Oryctolagus cuniculus: one gene and its partner. Each later gene encodes a partner of the first gene's protein in a complex. Links are inferred from orthologs where the notes say so. Each region holds a gene or a part of one and is shown in the gene's direction. Other genes may lie near its edges. The genes, in order: SENP2 and SUMO3.

What was found.
Region 2: the proteins of SENP2 (region 1) and SUMO3 are in contact, whole or in part, in a crystal structure (PDB 2IO1), measured with the Homo sapiens proteins. The link is inferred for Oryctolagus cuniculus from reciprocal best matches to the Homo sapiens genes SENP2 and SUMO3. Residues at the interface, in NP_067640.2 of Homo sapiens: Gln385, Asp386, Phe393, Lys394, Leu395, Arg396, Trp410, Leu411, Asn412, Asp413, Glu414, Ser439, Thr440, Phe441, Pro444, Lys445, Arg456, Trp457, Lys459, His474, Lys476, Val477, His478, Trp479, Met497, Gln499, Gln542, Asn544, Gly545, Ser546; in NP_008867.2 of Homo sapiens: Arg55, Arg58, Arg60, Phe61, Asp62, Gly63, Pro65, Asn67, Asp70, Leu75, Asp81, Asp84, Phe86, Gln87, Gln88, Gln89, Thr90, Gly91, Gly92, Val93, Pro94, Glu95.

The regions. Positions count from the first base shown.
Region 1 is NC_091435.1:95,281,774-95,285,576, forward strand, and holds part of SENP2 (sentrin-specific protease 2), read left to right. Parts: intron 1-179; coding exon 180-383; intron 384-867; coding exon 868-947; intron 948-3,803. UniProt on the Homo sapiens protein: Protease that catalyzes two essential functions in the SUMO pathway.
Region 2 is NC_091435.1:1,757,402-1,761,684, forward strand, and holds the start of SUMO3 (small ubiquitin-related modifier 3), read left to right. Parts: upstream 1-1,183; 5' UTR 1,184-1,345; coding exon 1,346-1,366; intron 1,367-3,515; coding exon 3,516-3,644; intron 3,645-4,283. UniProt on the Homo sapiens protein: Ubiquitin-like protein which can be covalently attached to target lysines either as a monomer or as a lysine-linked polymer. Does not seem to be involved in protein degradation and may function as an antagonist of ubiquitin in the degradation process.

The DNA.
Region 1 (3,803 bases):
ATTTTTTTTTTAATCTTCTGCAGAGACAGTGCTTTCATTCCTTTCATCCCCTTCTCTCATACCTTCCCTTCTCCATATATTAACTTCGCACTTTGTAATTCATCCTTACTTGGGTAGAAATTTAGTTTTCAGTAATATGCTGCCCATATTCCAACTTAGACTCTCTTGCTATTTTACAGGTCATTAATTTTTATATGAATCTTCTGGTTGAAAGAAATAAAAAGCAAGGCTATCCAGTACTTCATGCATTCAGTACTTTCTTCTATCCTAAATTAAAGTCTGGGGGTTACCAAGCAGTGAAAAGATGGACCAAAGGGGTAAATCTCTTTGAACAGGAACTTATTCTGGTGCCTATTCATCGAAAGGTACACTGGAGCCTGGTGGTAAGTTGAGAGGATTAGTTGTTGGGGTTTGGATACAGACTGTTTTCTTAAATAATTAAGGCTACTCTTTTCTGTCCAGTGATAAGACCAGTAAGGATATGTTAAAGGCATGCTGCGTAGAGTACCTTCTGAACAGCTTGGAAAGCTAGGAGACACAGTCCCTATACCTGGAGCTTTCATTCAGTTTTGTTTATAAGATGTTAAACAGATTTATTATAAAAGAATGAAAGTATAAAGAAGAGAACAAACAAAATTCATCATTGAGAGGGCCACTGATACTTTGGTGAATTAGTTTCTAGCCCTTTCTCTAGGAATAGAAATATATATATGTTAACTTACAATGTTTTGTAACTTTTTTTAAATTAAAGAATATGTCCTAGAAATTCATTCATGTTTGATTTTTTCAAAGATGGTTTTAATTTTGGAAATAAAGTTCTTCTGCTATATATAAGATGTTTTTGGATAATGCAATTTTCCATTATAGGTGATGGACCTAAGAAAAAAGTGTCTTAAATATCTGGATTCTATGGGGCAAAAGGGCCACAGGATCTGTGAGATTCTTCTGTAAGTAAAGATTGAAAAACTTCACTACTGTCTCATTAAACCCTTGTTAGGGTTTAATGGTGTTTAACAATCACCATTGTTTTTCTGTTTAATCCTAGGAAGCTCTGGATGGTAGTCTTAATGTACAGTTAAGATTCTCTATCTGTTAGGTCAGAACTTAATTGAATCCATCTTTTTTGGTTTAAATATGATATCTGATCTTTGAGAACATCTTACTTGGTAGCATATTCAATTGAAAACAAGTTTGTCATGTGTTATTATGTAAACTATACCTTGTTCGAATCCTTATCCTGTGATTTGAATGAGATCTCTTTGGATTTGTTACATTATTCTGAATGTCCTAAAGAACTGTTATAGGGAGTATTAGTCCTCTAAATTTTGGAGCCTACTCCATGTCTTTGTGCTTTCATGAGAGTTGGCTTCATCTCATGGAATACAGGGGAAACTTTTAAGTTAATAGTCATCCCCTTACTTCTGGGGATGAGTTCCAAGATCGCTAGTGGGTAGCTGAAACCACAGACTGTTCCCAAACATATCTGTTTTCCCTCTTGCCCTGCAGTGATGCTGTATGGTGCCCAAGTTAACCTGTCTTTCCTTGTCTCATTTGCATCACTACTTTTGTGCTTTGGGGCCATTTAGGTAAAATTAGATTAATTTGAACACAATATGAAAGCATGACAGTTGATTTGATAACAAAGATGGCTACTCAGTGACTGGGCGGGTGGTATATACAGCATGGATAAGCAAGGACAAAGGGTTGATTTATGTCCCAGGCCAGACCAAGTGGACAGTGTGAGATTTCATCATGTTACACAGAACAATGTGCAGTTTAGATGTTATGAAGCATGTATTATTTTTATAAGGTTTATTTAATTATTTGTAAGAGTTAAAGTTGTGTGGAGGGGAAGATCTCTTCCATTTTTACTTTCCAAATGGCTATGATGGCTGGAGGTTGGCCATGCTGAAGCCAGGAGCCAGAGGAGTTTCATCCCAGTCTCTCATATGGGTGGCAGGGGCCCAATTACTTGGACCATTTTTTCCTGCTTTCCCTTGCTAATTAGCAGGGAGCTGGATCAGAAGTGGAGTAACCAGGACTCCAGCTGGTATCCATATGGGATGCCAGCATACAGACTACAGCTTAACTTGCTGTGCCAAGTGCTGGCCCCATGAATTACTTATTTATTTCTGGAATTTCCCTTTATATTTTTGGACTGTGGGTAACTGAAACTACAAATACTGTAGTAATTGCTAGAAACCAGCCTTTAAAGTCTAGCCTCTTATTTCTTTTAAGTGGTAATGTGAATTTTTTTTAAAGATTTATTTTATTTATTTGAAAGAGTTAAAGAGAGAGGTAGAGACAGATAGAGAGGTCTTCCATCTGCTGGTTCACTCCCCAGATAGGTGCAACGGCTGGAATGGCGGTGATCTTAAGCCAGGAGCCAGGAGCCTCCTCCAGGTCTCTCACCGTGGGTGGAGGGGCCCAAGAACTTGGGCCGTCTTCTGCTGCTATCCTAGGCCATAGCGAGAGCTGGATTGGAAGAGGAGCAGCTGGGACTAGAACAGGTGCCCATATGGGATGCCGGCACCTCAGGCCAGGACGTTAACCCACTGCTCCACAGTGCCAGCCCAGTAACATGAGCTTCATAGTGAGAATGCTGTCAGTAAGATGAATCCATTTTGAATCTCTTTTACTTTCTGGAAGCAACTGCAGTTTTCTGCTTTTAACTTTTCTGAGGATAAATGAATTTGTTAAGTTAATCTTGTGAAAGAAGATATGATTACTAAAAATTCAAAAATTTTTAATGTTTTAACATAAAAGACCCTTTTTATTTTTATCTATCTTGATAAACAAACAAACAAACTGAGGCTGGTTTCTAGCAATTACTACAGTAGTTGTAGTTTCAGTTACCCACAGTCCAAAAATATCAAAAGGAACATTCCAGAAATAAATAAATACTTCATGGGGTCAGCACTGTGGCACAGCAAATTAAGCTGCTGCCTGTATGCTGGCATTCCATGTGGACACCAGATTGAGTCCTGGCTGTTCCACTTCTGATCCAGCAATTAGAAACTGGTTATGATACACCAAATTATTTGATCTTTCTGGTATTTTCTGTGTAAGATGTTTATAAAATGTACACATATACATACCTGTATGCGCATACATACATTTATATTACCACATGCATAGAAATTTCTTACTGGAATCACACACAAGAGTATTGGGTGGTGCTTATAACAATACATACTTCTGTTACATTCATATTCCCTCCCTGCTTGCCTACCTTTCTTTTGGAAGGTTCAGTTCCCATGTATCTAAGGTTTACTATGCTCCTAGTCCAGTTTTCTCTGCTTTTTTTTTATTGTCCCCTTCCCCCTGAGACTTTTGTAATTTAATTTCTCCATAACGAGAGACAATAATACTAAGCAATAAGTCATAATTGGTTGAGCTTTAGAGGGCTACAAACCATCGAAATATCTAAAGATTATTACCGCTAAGTACCAGTTTTCACTCCCTTGGGAGCAATGTTACCTTATTTGAGAGTATAGGACCTGGTTGGTCTAATACCAGTTTAACTTATTTTGCAGCTTAGCAGGAAAACTGTAAAATTAATCACTTTCAGTAGTTAAGTATGTCTTCTAAGAATATAAAATTCTGCTACAGTGGTGGGTATTTTAGTGCAGCAGAGTAATCCACCACTTAGGGATACCTCCATCCTATATCAGAGTGCCTGGTTTGAGTCCCAGCTACTCTCTGTGTTTCTGATCCAGCTTCCTGGTAATCCATCTGGGAAGCAGTGGATGATGGTGTAACAACTTGGGTTCCTTCTGCCTTCATGAGAGACTCAGATGGAG
Region 2 (4,283 bases), about 94 Mb from region 1:
ATGGCCGCAGGGCCCCAAGGACTTGGGCCTGCTGCTGCTGTCCCAGGCCACAGCAGGGAGCTGGATCGGAAGAGCGGCCGCTGGAAACTGAAGGCGCCCACAGATGCCGGCGCTGCAGGCGGAGGCTCAGCCCCAGCCCCAGCCCCAGCCCCAGCCCCAGTAACCTTTGCTCTTAATGGTGGCCCTGCCCAGACGTTTGAGGGTGGAAGGGGGCTTGGGAGATGCCCTGCGGCTCCGCAGCGTTACCAGGAGGTGAGTGGCACCTGTCTGCTGGCCTGCTCAGGCAGGATGGAAACGGTTCCGAGCCTTGGGCTGCGGCTCATCCTGGTGCCGCCCACCGGCCCCTCCATCCGAGGTGATTAAGGTCGGGGGTGGGCGTGCCTTCCGCGGTTCCGTGGGCCCCCATCTTGCATGGGCCACGCGGCCAGGTGCTCGAGCTCCCACCCGTGGTGACACCCGGCCTGTGGTTTCACCTCCCACCGCCTCGGTTTTCTCATACGTGAATGGGTTGTTGCGAGGACTAGGTGTGGACAGCATTCTAGAAGTCAGCCAAACCACCGGGAGGGGGCTCCCCATGGTGGAGAGTGGACGCCCCAGAGGAGGCGCCGGCCAGGGAAGTGGCCGGGAGGAGAGGACCTGGTGACCCCAGCCCTGTCTGCAGAAGCCTGCGTGATGTGGACAGAGGACACAGGTCCCCTCCAGTCGGGGAAGGGCCTCTCCCGAGCCCCCCCCACCGCCTTTCCTTTACCCCCTAGAGAAATGCAGCCCCGCAGAAGTGGGGGGTGCGTGGCCTGGCCTCGGCCTGCACAGCTCAGAGGCCTGGGGCCGCGCGCGGGCGGGGGGTTCCCAAGGGGACTTGCAGGTGGCTCCAGGGCCCCGAGGCCCGAACTGGACCCTGACCCTGCCCACGTCAGCGCAGCCACTCCGGAGCCCAGGCCTGGCCCTCACGTCCCCGCCCCCAAGCCCGATCCCGGGCCCTGGGCTCCCCCAGCCGTGCACTCCCTGCGCGTCCCCGGGGCCGGGCACCCGCGACAGCCTGCGGCCCCGGGTCCCACGCGCGCCCCCGGGCGCCCAGACTGCGGGGTCGCGCGGGGACCCGCCCCGTGACGCACTTCCAACCGCCGGGAACCGCGGCCCGCCCGGGCGCGCGCCCGACGCCCCAGGGCGCGCGCCTCGTGCACGCGCGCCCGCCACGTGACCTCCCCCGGCCAACCGGCGCGCCGGGATTTGAGGGATAAAGCGCGGCCCCGAGGGCAGTTGCGGCGGGAGAGCGGCGGCCCGGAGAGCGACTGCCCCGCTCGCGCTGCTGCTGCCGCCGCCGCCGCGACCGCGACCGCGCGCAGCCATGTCCGAGGAGAAGCCCAAGGTAAGCCGCGGCCCGCCCGCCGCCCGCCGCCCCGGGGCACCCGCGCCTCCGCTCCTGGCAGGCCCCGTCCCCACCCGCCGTGGCCACGGCGCCCACGAGCCCCGCGCCCGGGCCCACGCCGCACGCCCGCCCCTCCCCCACGGGCCTCCGCGCCCCTCCCCCACCGCGGGCTCCGCGGCGCGCCCCGCCCCGTCCTCGCCCCGCCCCGACAGCGTCTGTCCCGGAGCCCCGCCCCTGCTCTGCACCCGTCGGAGCTCCTCCCCGAGCCCGCCCCCTTCCGCTTCTCGAGCCCCGCCCCTTGCCGGTTTCGAGCCCCTCTAGTCCTAGCCCCGTCCCGTCCTAGCCCCGCCCCCAATAGGTCTCTCCCGGAGACCCGCCCCCTTTCTGGTCTCGGGCCTCTTACGTCATAGCCCCGCCCCGAGAAGCCCCGCCCTGACAGCGTCTCTCCCGAGCCCCGCTCCAAGCCCCGCCTCCTGGCCCCGCCCCCGCTGTGCGCCCCCTGGCGCGCGTCCTCGAGGGCGTGTTCGCGTGGCCCCGTCCTCCGTCCAGGTTTTCCCGCGCGGTGGCCCCTCTCCTGAGAGAGTGGGAGTAGCCGGGGTCGGTAGCCCGCTGCGACCCCGGATGTGCTGCCGTCTCCCAGCGCGGCCCCGGGGTGCGGCCCTTCCCCGTCACAGCCCCAGGGTGCTCCCCCTCCCCGTCATAGCCCCAGGGTGCTCCCCCTCCCCGTCATGGCCCCGGGGTGCGCCCCCTCTCCCTCTAGGTCCCAGGGTGTGCCCACCTCCCTGTCACAGTCCCAGGGTGCTCCCACTCCCCGTCACAGCCCCAGGGTGCTCCCCCTCTCCCTCTAGGTCCCAGGGTGCGCCCACCTCCCTGTCACAGTCCCAGGGTGCTCCCACTCCCCGTCGCCGCCCTGGGGTGCGCCCCCTCCCTGTCACAGCCCCAGGGTGCTCCCCGTCCCCGTCACAGCCCCAGGGTGCTCCCCCTCCCCGTCACGGTCCCGGGGTGCTCCCCCTCTCCCTCTAGGTCCCAGGGTGCACCCCTCCCCGTCACAGCCCCAGGGTGCTCCCCCTCTCCCTCTAGGTCCCAGGGTGCTCCCATCGTCCCGGCCTGGGGTGGGCCCCTTCCTGTCCCGCCCCGAGGGCTGCCCTGGGTCAGGCCGGCAGTCCTTGGGTAGGTGGAGGCGGAAGCTCCGGTCTCTGAGCACGTGCTGGGGACCTGGGGCTCCGTGCTGGGGACCTGGGGCTCCTGCTGCAGCTGGGGTCAGAGGTGAGCAGCCCCCTTCACAGGTGAGGGAGGAGGCTGGAGCCCAGCCCCTGGCCGGGCCCTGCTTGGGTGAGGGAGGAAAGCCGGCATCTGGCCACAGCCTCTAACGTGTGCCCAGGGCAGGGCCCCCCGGCCCAGGTCCTCGCCCATGGCATAAACTTGCCGGTGGACGCCAGCTCTGCTCTGGCCGTGGGGCGTGGGCGTGCGGGGAGGCAGCCTTGTGGTCAGATGGGAAAACCATTTCTGCCCCCCAGAATACTGACCACAATGAATTGGGGCAATTGGTTTTAGGACTTCTTTTCCTCTTTTAAAAAAAGATTTTTTTCTCTCTGTCTCTCACTGTCCACTCTGCCTGTCAAAAAAAAAAAAAAAAAGATTTTAAAGTGTGTTTACTTGAGAGTCAGAGACACAGAGAGAGGGTCTCCCGTCGGCCCTGTGCGTATCCCAGATGCCTGCAACGGCGGGGCTGGGGCCGGGAGCTGGCAGCCCCACGCACGTGTCCGCACCTGCCCGGGCCGCATGGCCCTCCTGGCCGCTGCCGCGTGGACCGCAGCTTCCCTCCCTCCTGTCAACACTGCCTTCTGCTTCTCTGAAGTCACGCACAGCTGCGTGCAGTGTGTGGTTCTGTTAGTTTTGTAAAAGTGACTTTCAAACGAAGATGGGTTTTCCGACTTCTCCTGGGCCCTGCAGGCTCGGGCGTGCTGCTCCCCCGGGACGCCCAGCGGCTGGGGGTGAAAGTCCGTTCTGTGCCAAAACAAAGCAGCCGCCTGCTGGAGGGGCCTGGACGGAGGCGCCGGTTAGGTGGTGGCCATGACGTCAGTGAAGCCCGGCGCCCCTCAGCTCCTGGAGAGCGCCGGATCCTTAGAGGTGTTTCCTGTCCCTGCAGGAGGGCGTGAAGACCGAGAATGACCACATCAACCTGAAGGTGGCCGGGCAGGACGGCTCCGTGGTGCAGTTCAAGATCAAGAGGCACACCCCACTGAGCAAGCTGATGAAGGCCTACTGCGAGCGGCAGGTGCGGCGCCCCCCGGCTGCCTTGCCCAGGGGCCTTGCCCAGGGGTCTCGTCCCGGTGGCCCTGTAAACGGACAGGTGGCGCTCACCGTGGCGGGCCCTTCTGCTGAGACGCCCTCTGGGGCAGGTGCGGCGCCCCCCGGCTGCCTTGCCCAGGGGTCTCGTCCCGGTGCCCCTGTAAACGGACAGGTGGCGCTCACCGCGGGCGGGCCCTTCTGCTGAGACGCCCTCTGGGGCCGGTGCCTTCCGATGCACTGCCGGGCAGGTCCCGCGTCGCTCCTCGCCTTACTTCTGCCCGTCAGCAGTGTGCTTTGCCAGCTCGTTTAGCAACGGCGAGAAAATGATGGATCTCCCCCAGTTTCCCAAACAGCGAGCCGCCTCAGCAGCACCCCCCTGTGGTCAGTCAGAACGGCCGTTTCTGGTGGCTAGCGTTCGTCTCACCAGCTCATGGGTCGTACACGTCTGTGCTTCGACGGTCGTGGCGTTCCAGTCCGTGCCCAGCGTGCTCGTCCTGGGGAGATGGGCATCGGTCCAGTCCGTTGCAGAATTCCTGCCACTGCATGGCCTTGCTGACTCACGGCTGTGCTGGGACCTGTATGGCGCCTGCCCTGCCAGCCCGCCAGCCCAGCGCTGCCGTTGCTT